3 linked regions of the Coturnix japonica genome follow. The protein of the gene in region 2 interacts with the protein of the main gene of each other region in a pairwise test. Links are inferred from orthologs where the notes say so. Each region holds a gene or a part of one and is shown on either strand. Other genes may lie near its edges.

Region 1 (5,106 bases), on a different chromosome or scaffold from region 2:
ACTGGATGGATTTCAGTTTCTGAATCGTACATCATCGAGGCCATGACTAACTGCAAGATTAAGAGCCTGACAGCACCTCCTTTGAATGCAGCCACATTGAAACCTTGCATCTTAAGTAAGCAACATAATTTCTTCCTCTGCGTGCTATGTTCTCAAACTCATCAAATGTGCTTTTTGGACAGTTTCTTGCAGGTCCAGGTTGTTTGGGGGAGTACAAGCTTTGTTGTCTATATTGCTAAGAAGTAATGACTATAAAATAGTGTTGCCACCACAATTCCAAGCCAGTTAGAAACTGGTACTTTTTCAAGGGATATCGTTTGAACGTTTTGGCAACTTAATTACTCATTTATTTTAATAAGGTAGGCTTGTGGCCCTTTCCAATCTAAGTATTTTAATAAGATAGGCTTGTGGCCCTTTACAATCTAAGTAGTCTTTTGTGGGATGACTGTATTTTGAAAACAGAACGAAAGCCAAGCAATTACTTGGCCAGCCTAACTCCTTTAGCTGTCTGTGAATGACAGATGAAACAGTGACTGATGTGAGTCAACTGCCTAAAGATGCTTCAGATCATCTTTTCTAACTGCCCAAGAGTGCCTGAGAAAAGGCCAGAGAACTGAAAGGCACAGACTGAATGTGGGTGATAGGAAAACCATCATGGCTTTTTCCCTGTGAGAAAACGGGTAGTGTGTTAAGTTAAAGGAGTTGGGGAGAGTTGCAGGCAGCACTTGAAATTGATGGCAATTAACAAATAGTAGATAACCTTCTGAATGAGAAGGAAGTGAAGAATTTGTGGTCTAAAGGGGTAGAACTGTTGGCCAGCTACATTTTTACCTAATAACAAAAGTTACTATTTTTGCATCAGCTTGAAGGTTCAGAGCCTTGGACTTCCAGCAGAGATGTGAGATACCATAGTTGTGTGAGATGATACAACGTGCCCTTATTTCTTTGCCTTTCCTGTTTGTTCCTAGCAGTTCTACAGTACTGAGAAAGTGGGACTAAGGCATTTCTACTACTCCTAGAAGAAATAAAGTAGGAAAAGGTGGTCCTTGCCACTCCCGTGATTCCCATAAGTGTCATGAATGAAATACAAATCTTTCTTGCTGGGTCTGGACAGGTTATTTGGAGGTGCTGTTACACAGGCAAGTGTTGACAAGAATAACACTGCCTCCAAACCAAGTAACACTACATTCTGTTTTCTCAGAGATTATTCAAATAGATCGTATAGGGAGCTGCTGCAGTAGCTGCTAGTGCTGCATTTTGTAATGTACGTAGCAGACAACCACTGATGCTGACTCCGTTCTACAGAGAAGTTTTTTCACATTACTTCTAGTTGTTTTGCATTTAGTATTTACAGGAAAAAGTTATTTTAAAAAAACCCACAACAACAACAACAAAAACCATTAATGTGAGCTGACAGAATTAGGTTCATGTTTTTTTAAATAATTTATAGTGCTTGCTTTTGTATGTTTAACATGCAACTTTTTTTTGCCACATGGAGAAGTTATCTGATATTTCTGATGTCATAACTCTAGTTTACCTTCTTGCAATGTAAATAATCGAAAATGTGTTACCAATATGTATGACCAAAAAAGTCCAAATCGCAGGGAGATGAAAATGCAACCAAACGCCTTCTATAAGTGCTGCCTAATCCTCAGAAGGGTTTTTTTTTTTTGTTCCTCTGATATGTACAGCCACGCTAAAATGGTTCTGAATACCAGTTGAACAGCCACTTACCTGGACTGTGGGACAGTCTTGTCTACAAAGAGGAATATTGCTTTCTCAGAGGGCAACTGAATCCTCTTCCTGATGATCCACATAAACTGGGCCACGGTGATGTCAGATGGAACTAAGTATTTCCTCTTATCAATATCAACAATCTGAGATCCTGATACCTTCTCCACTATAACCTGTAAAGCACATGTGAAAGTGAGGCTTTTCAGGACTGGTAGAAACAGACAGCTTTTGATAGTGAGAGATAGGACTCAGTACTGTACAACCTGATTTTACAACTGCACTGAAACCTACATTCATATATACAATGGCACAAATTTTCCTGTGCCTGTGCACCTCTCTTAGCCCTCATTTAAGGGCTGGCTGACACTCTGGAAAGCTCTTCCCTGTGAACCCAGGTGAACCTAATCACCTCCCTCATCGAGCTAGGAAGGACTGTCAAGGTGTAAAGAACTTATTCTTTAAGTTTCCTGGAATCATGCACAGAATGTACCTTCAGGATACTGAACGTACAAAGCCTTTGCTCTTAAAAGAAAGTGGGACATAGAGAAAACATAGATGTGGTAAGTGTTCAGAAAGTCAGGCACATTCACTTATTTGACAGTGCGCATTAGGGCAGAGGAAGGAATGCTGGGCTAGTTACGTGTCTTTGGGCCTTCTTTAAAACATCAAACGATGCAAAAGGGAAAATGAATGTACTTGGTGGGTTCTGGTCAAAGCACAGCGGGCAGGATGCAGGCAGCTCATCCACCGCTGCCTCTTCAGTTCTGGATGAAGCCGGCCTGGTTACTCACCGGGACACGGTCAGGGTACTTGGCGCGGATCTTTGCTGACTCCACACATCTGTGCTCTGTGAACAAAACTTGCGGTTAGTCACGGTACAGTAACGGTACAGAACGGTAACGGTAACGGTACGGTAACAGTATGGTATGGTAACAGTACGGTACGGTAACAGTACGGTACGGTACGGAACGGTAACGGAACGGAACGGTATGGTAACGGTACGGTAACAGTAACGGTACGGTCAGGGCCCTGCGCAGAGCGAGCAGCCCCGCACGCACCGCAGCCGCCCCGCACCCCGTGACGCGGCCCCGGCCCGGTGTTCGCATTCTCATTCTCGTTCTCATTCTCGTTCTCATTCTCTCATTCCCCGCTGCCGCGCCGCCCTGCGTCCAGACCCGCGGGGCCGCCCGCCCAGCAGCACGACGGGGAGCCCGGGGCGGACGGCGACACGGGACACGGGACACGGGAGGCCGCCGTCGGGCAGCGCCGGGCCCGCCCTTACCCAGCGCGTGGTCTTCTTTGAACATCCACTTCATGGCGCGGGCTGGGCGGGAAGCGGAGCCGGCGGCGGGGCCCGGGTAGGCCGAGAACGGAACCGGGCCGAGGCGGCCGACACGGACCCTGTCACAACAAAATCAGCCCCGGCTCGGCAGGCGGGACTTCCGGTTCGGTGCTTCCTTAGCAACCACCGGAACGCGGCGCTTCCGGGTCGCGGTGAGCGGGGTCACGTGGGGGAAACGAGGCTGCGGAGCCCGCCGTTCGGTCCCGTTGCCGCCGGTCCCTTTGCTGCCGGTCCCGTTACCGGCGGTCTCGTTGCCGTAGCGCCCGCCGTGGTTCCCTTGGTGCTGCGCTCCCCGGGCGCTCCCCGCTTCACTGCAGCCGCGTGTCCCGGATCGCGCTCCCCGCTGCTCGGCGGCCGCCGCTCCCGTTGCGGCGCTCGGTGCAGCCCGGCTCCGGTCCGTCGTTGCGCTCCGCAGCCGCGTGCTGGGGATGGCGGCGCTGGAGCTGTTCTCGCACCCCGCGCTGCACACGCGGTACCGGGCCGGGCTGTGCTCCGCCGCCGCGCTGGCGCTGCTGCTGCTGGCCGCGCTCACCTACGTGCCGCCGCTGCTGGTGGCTTACCGGAGCCACGGTGAGCGGCGGGCAGCCCCCAGCCCCGCGGGGCCGCGCCCGGCGTCGCGCCGTGACGTCGCGCCGTGTTTGCCCGCAGGTTTCTGGCTGAAGCAGAGCTCGTACCGAGAGCAGCCCGCGGTCCGCTTCCAGTACCAGCTGCTGTTCGTGGCCACCACCGGGCCGGGCCCGGGCAGCTTCCTGGCGTGGAGCACGTTCCCGGCGTTCAACCGGCTCCAGGAGGACCGGCTGCGCGTCCCGCTGCTGTTGGTAGGCGGCTGCGGGCAGCGGGTCGGGGAGCTCCCTTGGCTTCGGCTGTCGGTGCACTGACTTACAGGAACACGCTGCTCGTTCTCACGAAGCTTTTTGCTGACTTTTCTTTCCCGTGGGTTTTTGTGGTTTTGTTTTTGTTTTTTTTTTTCCCCGTAATTTTTCTTCCTTCCCCGTCCCGGTCCCGCTCTGTGAGGCTTGTTACACTGCAGCTTGCAGGGCTTTGTGGGCAGCCCCCTGCTTTGCAATGCAGGTACGTGCTTTCAAAGCATGCCGTCTCTCCCCTGCAGCTATTGTTCTTTGCGGGATCCAGCAGCGGTAGTTATTTCCTCTGAGCGCTCTGTGGTGCCTCGTGGTGGTTGTGAATTGCTGCGGTGCTGGCCTTGAGCGGTACGGAAGCGCTGGGAGCCGCGGCTTCCCACCAGGAGCTGGACATGGTGCAAAGAAGCGCTCAGGGCCGAGCTCAGCATTGCCAGGGATGTAGCAGAAGGTCCAGCGTTAAGATACAGACTGTAGGATGCAGGGAACATGTTTGGAATGGCACGGGACAAAAGTGCTCTTGGAGAGTCTTTTTCCCTTCCTGTGGAGTACGTGGATTGTTGTAACATACAGAACTAAGGCTTCTCTCTCTAACCTCATGTTTTTAAAGCCAAGCAGCTTTTTATTCTATTTCTAACTGTGCTGTTTCTTTGCTTTCTTTGTATGTGCGTGTTGCAGTTAGGGAAATCTGCACTTTTAACTTTCTTTCCTCTTAACAGGAACCCTTCTATTAAACTAACTAAACAAAAGTCTGATCGCTCCTTTTAGGCGAGAGAAGAAGATAAAAATCAAGATGGAAAAATGGATCAGTTGCATTTTAAACTGGAGCTTCCACTTCAACCTACAGAGCACGTAGTTGGCATTCAGCTGATTTTGATCTTTTCCTACCAGCTTTATGTGAGCACTTTTTGTTTTATTTGCTGTGACCCATAGAGCCAGTGTAGGATGTCAGGAGTTATGTGAAGAATCTTTTCACGTTTGACATTTCTGAGAGATTTCAGTAACATCTCTTGTGTTGTTAATTCCCCCCCCCCCCCCCCCTCCCCCTTCTCAGGTCATTGCTAGTTTCTCTATGATATGAAATGTTTCTTTGCTGTGGGGATTGGTGGCTTTTTTGGTGTGGGTTTTTTGTTTTGTTTTTTTGGAGGGAGAACAGTTGGTTTGCTTCTGTAT
Region 2 (5,106 bases):
TCTGGGGGGCTCAGTGGTGTCCCCTCCCGGCAGGGCCTCGCCGCACTGGAGCTCTTTGAGATCGAGCTGATGGAGGATCCCCAACACAGCCTCAGTGAGGAGGAGAAGATCAGCTCCTCCAGCCTGCGACAGCGGCTGCTCGGCACGTTGCTGCGGCCCCCACGGGTAGGGGGAGCTGCCGGGGGCTGGGAGCTGCGGGACCACCGCCCGTCTGACCCTTCCTTCCCCAGGACAGCCCCACGCTGCCCCCCCGCCCCTACATCATCGGTCTGACCGGGGGCAGCGGGAGCGGGAAGACCTCGATCGCCCGCCGCCTGGGGCAGATGGGAGCGTTCATCATCGATGCTGATGCACTGGGCCACGCTGTGTACCTGCCCGGCAGCCCGGCCCACGGGCAAGTGGTGGCTGCGTTTGGGGCAGGTGGGGCTGGGTGTGCTGCGGCACCGGCGCTGTGCCGGGACACGCTGTGCAGGTGAGTTGGATTCTTTCTGCTCCCAAATCACCTCCCTCTGTCTTGCAGAAATCTTGAACAAAGACGGGACGATCAACAGGAAGATCCTCGGGGCAAAAGTGTTTGGAAACCAGGTACGAGCAGCACAGGGAATGTCAATATTTAACCTCATGAGCAGAGAACTCTGTGCTGGCGCTTTGATTTCCAGCCCTTTGAGCTGATGCCACGTCCCTGTGCAGTAGCACACAGTAAATCAGCGGCTGTGCAGGATCCACATCCAGGCAGCAGCTGCTGTTGCTCCTCCAGCTGTGGCCCCCTCGTGGACCAACCTCTGGGAGGACCCTGACTCCGCTGCGGTTCCTTTCCAGGAGCGGCTGAAGAACCTCACAGACATCGTGTGGCCGGAGATCGCGCGGATGGTCAGGGAGCAGATCAGGGAGGCAGGAGCTCAAGGTACCGGGTGGCTCTGATTGTAGTGGGCGCTGCCGGCGCTGCCTGTGTCCGCCCGGTGACCAGGAACGGCCTCGTTCCGTAGGAAAAGCCGTGATGGTGCTGGATGCCGCCGTGCTGCTGGAGGCCGGATGGCAGGAGATGGTGCACGAGGTGTGGGCGGCCATCATCCCCGAGGACGAGGTGGGTGACTCCCCTCGGCCGCCCCGTGATCCCCGTGACCCCCCGTGACCCCCGTGATCCCCGTGACCCCCGTGATCGCCGTGATCCCCGTGATCGCCGTGACCCCCGTGATCGCCGTGACCCCCCGTCCCGTGCTGGTCCCGCAGGCGCTGAAACGCATCGTGAGCCGGGACGGGCTGAGCGAGGAGGCGGCGCGTGACCGGCTGCGGAGTCAGATGAGCGACGGGCAGCGGGTGCGGGAGGCGCATGTTGTGCTGAGCACCGCGTGGGAGCCCGACGTCACCCACAAACAGGTGAGAACGGGCCGCTGTAACGGGCCGGTGTAACGGCGCCGAGCCCCGCACGAAGCTGCTGACGGTGCCCGTTGTCAGGTGGAGAAGGCGTGGGAGCTGCTGCAGCGCCGCATCCACCGCGCGGCCACCGCAACGAGCAGCTGAACCGCAACGGGACCGAGAGGAGCCGGGACCGGGAGCGAACGGAGCGAACGGAGCGAACGGAGCCGCACAACGCGCCGGGACGGACCGGAAGCGCCGCGGCCCCGACCGGGCGGGTACGGCCCGTGCTCGGCACGGCGGGCGCTGCCGGTTCCGCGCCGTGATCCCGCAGCCGAGCGGCGGTTAAAGGGCGGTCGCAGTTTCCCGGTGTCCGTGCTGTTTGTGTCCCGTTGGTCCCGTTGTTCCCGTTGTTCCCGTTGTCCCCACGTGGCGCCCCCTCGCGGTCGGGAGGGCGGCGCTTCCCGGCGTCCCCCGCGGCTCCCACGTGACCGGGGCGGGGGAAGATGGCGGAGCCGCCCGGTGCCGCGGCGGAGGAAGCGTGGGGGAAGGTAACGGGGCGGCGGTCGGACCGTGGGGCCGAGGCCCGGAGCGCCACCATCCGCCCCGTGACCGCCGCCCTCCGCCCGCAGGTGGACGCCGCGTACGGGGACAATGTCCCGGAGCCCGGTAGGTGCCGGGGGGGGCGGTTCGATGGCGGGTGGCGGATGGGGCGGCTCCGCTGAGCGGCTCCCGCTGTCCCGCAGCGCTCGGTACGGACAGGAAGGGCAGCGTCGTGTCCCGCGCCAACAGCATCGGATCCACCAGCGCCTCGTCCGTGCCCAACACCGGTACGAACGGGGGCACCGGGCTGGAGCGGGGCGGGCGCGGGGCAACCGGGGACGGCGGCGTCCGGGGGGGCCCGTCCCGACCCGCGCTCAGCGCCGCTGTGTCCGCAGACGACGAGGACAGCGATTACCCGCAGGAGTTTTACAAGGAGTCCTACAAGGACCAGCGGCGCCGGGCGCACACGCAGGCGGAGCAGAAGCGGCGCGATGCCATCAAGGTCGGTGGGCGCCGCGCCGCGTTCCAGCCCCTCGTCCCGTGCTGGATCCGCTCCATGAGCCGCGTGTGGCTGGAGCCGCTTTGGCCGCGTGGTGGGAGCTGGGCTGTGGGTCCGTGTAACCGCTGCCGTTTGTGCCTGTTCTGCTCCCTCTGCCCCTGCAGAAAGGCTACGACGACCTGCAGGCCATCGTGCCCACCTGCCAGCAGCAGGACTTCGCCATCGGCTCCCAGAAGCTGAGCAAGGCCGTCATCCTGCAGAAGAGTGAGTGTGTGCAGGAGGCAGCAGGGCACGATCCGACCCTCAGGCACCTCAATGTGGTGATTGTGTGTGATGGTGCCTCGGGGACCGACCTCAGGGAGGTCAGAGGGGCCCCATGTGCTGCTTACTCTGTGTTTTTGTGTTCAGCCATTGATTACATTCAGTTCCTGCACAAGGAAAAGAAGAAGCAAGAAGAGGAAGTTTCTACTCTCAGGAAAGACGTGATGGCCTTGAAGATAATGAAAGTGTAAGTAAGAAGTTATTTGGTTGCTGCCCCCTTCTTCCTGCTGTTTTTCCCCATGTCCCTGCAAAGCTCCCCCGATGTGCTCAGTGCTCTGTGTGCAGTCTGGCACCTGGGGTCGTACCAAATTGCCTCCAGTTCTGAAGCTGTTTTCAGTGTCCAGTTACTGGCAGCAGCTTCTGCCCCCGCTGTCGCCCAGCTGCTGTGCAGTACGAGGCTTCGATAGCACTGAGCCCCAAACTTGGTGTTTCAGGAACTATGAGCAGATCGTAAAAGCTCACCAGGACAACCCGAGTGAGGGGAAGGACCAGGTCTCTGACCAGGTGAAATTCAACGTTTTCCAAGGCATTATGGATTCCCTCTTTGAGTCCTTTAATGCCTCCATCTCAGTCACGAGTTTTCAAGAGCTGTCAGCATGTGTCTTCAGCTGGATTGAGGAGCACTGTAAGCCCCATGTGAGTACAGCAGACACAGGGGGGTTGATATAAGAGCAGAGGCTGTTGTGTATGGCTGCACCTGTCTGGAGTGTAGGCCTGTGTGCAGCTTTTCTTTCGCCTGGGCCTTCAGAAAGGCAGAATGTGGCTGACACTGGACCTGGGGCATGGGAGCTTGGGTTCCTCTCATTTCCCAGCTGCTTGGCAGTGAAATTCAGACACTGAAAAACAGAGCTTACAAAGAGGGTGCTTGTTCCCCAGCACTTTGTTCCATAAGACACTTAGAAGTTAGGAGGGAAGAGAATGAGCTGCATGGGCAGGGCCAGGTCCTTGTTGTGCTGTGGCTGCCTGGAGCCCTGCAGCCTGAGAACACAGACAGGCGATCGTTTCCCATACAGGTGCTGAGATCTGTGGCACCAGGTGCTGTCTGTAGCATTGAGCATGGGAAAGGCTTTTCCTCCCCTGAACAACTGACTGTGTCTCCTCTCTGCCCCAGACCCTACGGGACATTGTCATCGGGGTCCTGCACCAGGTGAAGAGTCAGCTGTACTGAGCATCCCTCGCTGGAGCACCTCCCGACCGGGTGACAGCTGCCAGGAGAGGCTGGACCATCTCCCTTGTGCTGGTCCTTAAAGCTTCTTCGATTATTTATTGTCACTACAAAACCAAACCAAAGCTGTGCAAACAGGTACTGTCACAGTCAACGTTACCAAATACTGCTAAGGACTTAGTGAAGGGAAAGAAATAAGTGTGTATTGAATATAGATCTTTTAAGTTGCCAGTGTCTTTAGCTCAGGCAGGTGGTTGCAGTTGGGTTTATCTGTGCCACTGATTTCAGGGCTGCAGCTCAGCAGGTGAATCTGCTCTGTAACCTCACACCTGATATAAACCCTATTGAACCTGGGAGCAGGGAGAAATAGGAGAGTGCTAAAAGCTGTTGCTGTGCTAATGCAGCTCAGGAATAGGGTTATTCTGCAGCTGCAGGTTTTCAATACCTCCCTCTGAAGCAGCTCTTAGAAAAGCAAGAGTCTGCTTTTAATTTCTGTAGCTGCTTTGGAGAAGGCCCGGGAGAACTGAGGGCAGGTTTATTAGCATGTCACTGCCAGGGCAATGCTCATTACATGGAGCAGCAAGCGAGCTCTGTGCTGAAGGAGTGCCCTGGGGCCTCGCTGTGCTGACTCTTCAGTAACACCCCTGAATGGGAAAGGAGTGAACTTTCATTGCAGCCTTTTCCTCCTTGTTCTGATGAGTGCTGAATTGGGCCTGGCTTTATCTTTTTCTGGGTTGTGATGTGGCCACACTGAACAGGAAAGTTCAGTAGCTGCAGCACAGCATTACTCTGAGTTCACACTGCTGTTCCTTAGCACCATGATTTTATGTGGGTATATATATTTATATACATGTAACCAGCCTTGATTTTATTTTATAGATCACTGAAATCATTGTAAAGTGTAATCAATGCCAGTTTTGCAGTGTCTCACTTGCCACACGCTGCTGCTGTCAGTGTGAATCAGCAAACCAAGCACAATGATGGCATTGGACAGCATCACCCTCCATGGCATTGACACATACAGCAGGACTTGTTCTCTAGTCGTGTTCTTGCTACCACTCCAACAGTAGCAACTATTTATTTTATGTTGTTTTTCCACTGTAGATGAGGTAATGCTAAGTTTCTCAGCTCCGGGTTGCTTGATTTTTGAATGCTGCAGCTGGAGATGGTTGAAGCTGTTGCTTCTGTTTGACTTAAATGAAGAAAAGCTTTTTGGTGGGGT
Region 3 (5,174 bases), on a different chromosome or scaffold from region 2:
GACTGTAAGATGCATTTGGACACACATACTAAGGAATACAGATGCTCTGCAGGTTGGAGGTACTGCTATTTCGCTGGCTGCAGGAGTGAACAGCATTGTCTTATCTGTGTATCTTTCTGTTTGCTTTACTACGTGCCCTATTGCATGCGGTCAGGCAAAGGGAACTTCCCGTGTGGACGCTGCAGAACTACACATAGTTTTGTGTTATTTTATAGAAGAAAACAATGTGAAATCCTTTGTAAACCCACTCCCAGTGGAGACAACAGCAAAACGACCATTAGTTTTGATGGGTTTTCAGTGTTTTTTTCCAAGCAGATGTAACGTACTCTTAAATTACAGCCACAAGGCAGCCTTTCTTTACAGTATTTTGTCCCATCCTGGGAAATGGCCACATAGGATGAGAGGGAATGGCCTTAAAATGTGCCAGAGGAAGCTCAGGTTGGTGATTAGGAACAATTGGTGGCGGGACATTGGAAAAGGCTGCCCAAGGAAGGGACGATCTGTGGGGGTGTTGGAGGAACGCAGAGATGTGGAGCTGAGGGACGTGCTTTGTGGGCCATGGGATGGGCTGATGGTTGGACTGCATGATCTCAGCGGCCTTTTCCAGCCTTAATGACTCTATGCCATCAGCAGCCGTATCGCATTCACTCAGCTGAGGCAAAGATACAGACTAGTTACATACTAGATGTAATACACAATGCTTGCTCCGAAAGTAATGCCTCTTGGTTTATGATGCTGGCCCATGACATCAGAGGTGGATGGTGGTGGTTGAACCTTCCCACTGACGTTCTATTCCATGTTGCTGCTGTTGTGACAGAGCCGCCGTGCTCGGAGCTGACAGCACATACACAACACAATACACACACACCACACCACAACACACACAACACACACACACACACAACACACCACACAACACAGCATATACACAACACACACCACACCACACAACAGAACACACAACACACCACACAACACACACAACACACACAAACACACACAGCGTAGCATAGACACAACACAGCATAGACACAACACTACACACAATACAAAACACACAACACACAACACGGCATAGACACAACACACACACAACACACAAGACACACCACAAAACACAACACACACACAACACACACAGCATAGCATAGACACACAACACAACACACACACACAACACACAACACACACAACACAACAAACACACCACACAACACAGCATAGACACAACACAACACACAATACAAAACACACAACACACAACACGGCATAGACACAACACACACACAACACACAAGACACACCACACACAACACACACACACTACACCACACAATGCACAACACAACACACACAACACAACACACAACGCCCAACACAAAACACACAACAAACACACCACACACACACACAACACACTCAGCATAGCATAGACACACAACACACACAACACAGCATAGACACAACACACACACTACACACACAACACAACCACACACACACCACACAACAGGACACAACACAGCATAGACACAACACACACACAACACAACACAACACACACACACACACAACACACCACACACCGCGTCCCACGCGGCACCAACGCCCCACCCCCCTCCCCACACAGCGCACGCGTCCCTTCATTTGCATAGTGCCCTCTGGGCCAATCAGCGCCGGCCGGCTGCTTAACATGCAAGAAGCGAGCCAATCAGCGCGCGAGGGGGCGGGGCCACCACGTGCTGTTGCTAAGCTTCGGCTTCTAACTTGTTACTATAGCGGCCGACCAATGGGAGGCGAGATGAGATCTGTCAACATTCCCTGCCCCAGCCAGAGGAAAAGGGAGGGGGGCTCTCAACGCCCATTGGCTCCATCGAGGCGCTTCGTCCCGCCTCCTCGCTGAACCCCGTTTTCCTATTGGCCGCCGGGGCTGCCCGTCTGCCGTGTGTCAAATGTAGGTTGAGAGAGGTGCCTTATAACTGGGGACTTGGAAGTTCCCCCGCGCGTGAACTCGGCGCGGGGTGGAGTGGCCGCGCTGCGGGGGGCTCGGCTCGGTGTTACTCGGTATTACTCGGTGTTACTCGGTTCGGTTCGGCATTGCTCGGCTCCTCCAACACGCAGCCATGGAGTTGAACTCCCTGTTAATTCTCCTGGAGGCGGCCGAGTACTTGGAGAGAAGAGACCGAGGTACTGAGCGCCGCTGTCCCTTTGTTGTGAGGGGATCGGGCCCAGCTGCCACAGGGCGGGCAGGGCAAGAACATGGACGGGGCTGTGTGTGTTCGGTGTGTGCCACACACATAGAGCGATAATAGGGGATTTAGGGCGGTATTGGGGGCTGCTGAGCCGGGGGGTGGGGGGAGACTGAGGTGGGGGCACTTGGGGGGGATTTGTGGCCTTTATGTGCGTGTATGTGTGTATATATATATATACACATATATATATGTGTATATGTGTGTGTGTGTGTATGTGTGTTGCTGCTTTAAGAGATGCCGGACTGAAAATCCCAACAAATCAACCGCAACCAAAATTCTGTTCTTTACCCCCTTATAGCGTTCCTGCAAAGGAGGAAAAAAATGCATGGAAAAAATATATTGCCACTAATGCTGACTTTGTCCCTAGAAGCAGAACATGGCTATGCATCAGTGTTACCCTTCGATAGTGACTATTCCAGAAAGAAAACAAAGGCAGGCTCCATGGCCAGAAAGTCCCCGAATAACAGGTAATGGACACAGCTCGTCCCGTGTTCCATCCACGCCAGCAGCCCGTCGGTTCCGCTCCCCCATCCCGGGAGTCGCCATTTTTCGCCGCCTGGGCTTGGCCGTGTTTTCATCTCCCATATAAACACTGCCACGCGTACAACCATCTCCTCCCTGCCGGCCGCCCCCACGGCTCCGCTCTGCTCCGCTCTCTGTGCCGTCTCCTCGCAGCCTTTTCTTTGCATGGCACTAATTCAACCCCCCCCCCTCCTTCCCTCCCCCCACAGCGTTTATTTATATCCTTCCCCCCGTGGGGCCTCAGAATCGCCGCGTGCACGGGACGGTCCCGACCCGGTGCTCGCCCTTCTCCCGTCGCTCCGCATTGAGGAGGTTCCGAAGTCGAGCTCTCCCGGTGCCGCTGTCCCCGCGTGGCCCGTCGTTGCCATCATCATCCCCCTCCTCGTTGTACCGTCGCCTGTTGTTTTTTTTCCCCGCAGCGCTACCTGTGCTGCGATGCCATTAGCGAAGGGCTCTGCGCAGGCTCTGCAGCTTTGTTTGCCGCTCCGGCAGTGGCTGTGGACGTGCAGGAGGTTGGCTTACAGGGACAGTGCCGGCCCCCGCCTGGGAACTCCTCCAGCCGTCGTTGTGCTGCTCCGCTCCGCTCTGCTCGGCTCTTCCAGGGCTGCTCCGGAGCCGTGGCCGGGCCTGGCCCTACCAGCAGCTCCTCTGGGCACGGTGCTTCCTCTGGAACAGCCTAACGTGAGCTCGGCTCGCACGTGGTTTGTTTTGCAAAGCACCGTGAGCTCGGTGGGCCCGCTGCTCCCCCAGCAGGGATCCCGCAGGGTGCCCGAGATGCGGCCTGGAATCAGGAGCTGGCAGCTCCTCGGGAGGGCAGAGCTGGCACCCTGCTGCTGCCCGCAGCTGAGCTGTGCCTCTATCAGAGCTGCTGGGGGAGGCTGCTCGTTCCCTGTCCCCTGCTGGAAGTCAGGCACACGCTGCTGCGTTCTCGCTGCAGCACTTGGACGTGGGTTTGGGTTTAAGTTGAATTCTTGTCTCATTTCAGATGTCAGTTCGTTTTAGAGAGTCATCAGGAGTGGGAGATGTTTCCCGAGGCTAAACTAAACAAGGCTCCTAGCAGTCCACACCCAAAAGCGCTGGCCGCATCTTAAGGACTATTTCTGCCTCCTGAGTTTGGGAAAGCTGTGTTACTTAGAGAGCTATTATTCCATCATTTCCTTTCTTAGGTCTCTTGTCATCCCTGCAAAATAGTTATTTGTCTGAACTGTAAGCTGCTTTTCAGAGTTGTTAGGAGAGGATTTGTAACCTATCAAATAGAGCAGAATTAAAAGATTTCTGCTCACAGATTTGCTCGTGTTATGGAGGTGTGCATGCCTGCTTGCAGTTATATTCTGCATTCTGTATTTACCTGCTCAGACTTTCATTCTGATCCTCACCGTGCAGCAGTGCCAGCCTCCAACATGCCATCCTGTGACGTGCCACCTATGCATTTCCTTGCGCTTTCTTTCCTCCTCACTGCAGTGATTAGGTCAGGAATGAGTTGGTGTTATGGGACGAAGTGGTGCTTCCCAAATGGTCTCTTGTGGTGTGTATGCTGTCAGGCTGTGAGTGAAGACGCATTGCTGGAATGCAGCGCCCTGCTCTGTTAGGAGCAAGCGTGACTGCAGAGCTCTGTGGGCACCCCTGCATCCATTGCACCTCCTGCACCCACCCCCATTTGGAGGTACTGCTGCTCAGCTTTGCCTATGAGCTTGAATTCTAAATGATCTTTACATTAGAACATCAGTTTAAACCCCACAAAGTACACCAGCATCGCTGTTTATTATTATTATTTGGAGCTTATAGGCTGCAGGGTCTGAACCCCAGACTAGAGTTTGGGTAATGCTGTTAAGTCTCCCTAAGCAACTTGGAGATTACCAGGGGCAGACGACTGGCCAAAGTTCAGAGGATCTGGAATGGTCGTGGTGATGTGAAGCGCTGGGTAAAACGTTTGTTGTTATTGTTCTGTATCAACCTTTTTCCAGCCTTGGAGCATCGGATTCAGGCAGAGTATATACATACATGTCTGAAGTTTATTCCTAATGATTGCATTCTTCTTCTTAGATAGAAAAATACGTGCTTAAGGTTGGAGGGGAAGGAAAGAAGCAGAGAACTGCACGTTTCGAAACTGCAGGGGTTTGGTTGTTTTCGTCATCTGTTTTTATATCCTGCTGCTTGCAGCATCCTCAGCTCCCTTTGTTTATACCGTCTGATCAGATTAAAAACCGATACATATATATATATATGTATGTATTGCACGCTTAGTGAGCTAAATATATATATGTATAGATACATTAAAGCATGAAAAACATCTTCCTCCTCATTTTGGGAAAATGAGGAAAGGGGAGGAGGGGAGCAGTGTCAGCAGCAGGGGGCTGTGCCACGCATTGCTCTGCTCTGCAGTTCCTCCCCTCGCTGCCT

Evidence for each region. The genes of interacting proteins can lie anywhere in the genome.
Region 1: the proteins of MLX (region 2) and GABARAPL2 interact in binary tests that used the Homo sapiens proteins (3 or more experiments, as listed by UniProt). The two-hybrid records come from large-scale screens. The link is inferred for Coturnix japonica from reciprocal best matches to the Homo sapiens genes MLX and GABARAPL2.
Region 3: the proteins of MLX (region 2) and MXD4 interact in a two-hybrid assay, tested with the Homo sapiens proteins (2 studies listed by BioGRID). The link is inferred for Coturnix japonica from reciprocal best matches to the Homo sapiens genes MLX and MXD4.

The regions. Positions count from the first base shown.
Region 1 is NC_029526.1:17,778,384-17,783,489, forward strand, and holds the start of GABARAPL2 (gamma-aminobutyric acid receptor-associated protein-like 2), read right to left. Parts: upstream 3,213-5,106; 5' UTR 3,051-3,212; coding exon 3,017-3,050; intron 2,582-3,016; coding exon 2,526-2,581; intron 1,908-2,525; coding exon 1,735-1,907; intron 1-1,734. Other genes in the region: uncharacterized protein LOC107319444, read left to right, coding at 3,505-3,646, 3,725-3,894, 4,702-4,830. UniProt on the Homo sapiens protein: Ubiquitin-like modifier involved in intra-Golgi traffic. Modulates intra-Golgi transport through coupling between NSF activity and SNAREs activation. It first stimulates the ATPase activity of NSF which in turn stimulates the association with GOSR1.
Region 2 is NC_029542.1:4,577,427-4,582,532, forward strand, and holds the start of MLX (max-like protein X), read left to right. Parts: upstream 1-1,746; 5' UTR 1,747-1,862; coding exon 1,863-1,907; intron 1,908-1,988; coding exon 1,989-2,025; intron 2,026-2,102; coding exon 2,103-2,186; intron 2,187-2,294; coding exon 2,295-2,401; intron 2,402-2,562; coding exon 2,563-2,662; intron 2,663-2,806; coding exon 2,807-2,906; intron 2,907-3,153; coding exon 3,154-3,355; intron 3,356-3,830; coding exon 3,831-3,887; 3' UTR 3,888-5,106. Other genes in the region: bifunctional coenzyme A synthase-like, read left to right, coding at 34-165, 231-420, 521-585, 820-904, 987-1,084, 1,231-1,377, 1,433-1,705. UniProt on the Homo sapiens protein: Transcription regulator. Forms a sequence-specific DNA-binding protein complex with MAD1, MAD4, MNT, WBSCR14 and MLXIP which recognizes the core sequence 5'-CACGTG-3'. The TCFL4-MAD1, TCFL4-MAD4, TCFL4-WBSCR14 complexes are transcriptional repressors.
Region 3 is NC_029519.1:75,158,150-75,163,323, forward strand, and holds the start of MXD4 (max dimerization protein 4), read left to right. Parts: upstream 1-1,962; 5' UTR 1,963-2,123; coding exon 2,124-2,187; intron 2,188-2,550; coding exon 2,551-2,719; intron 2,720-5,174. UniProt on the Homo sapiens protein: Transcriptional repressor. Binds with MAX to form a sequence-specific DNA-binding protein complex which recognizes the core sequence 5'-CAC[GA]TG-3'.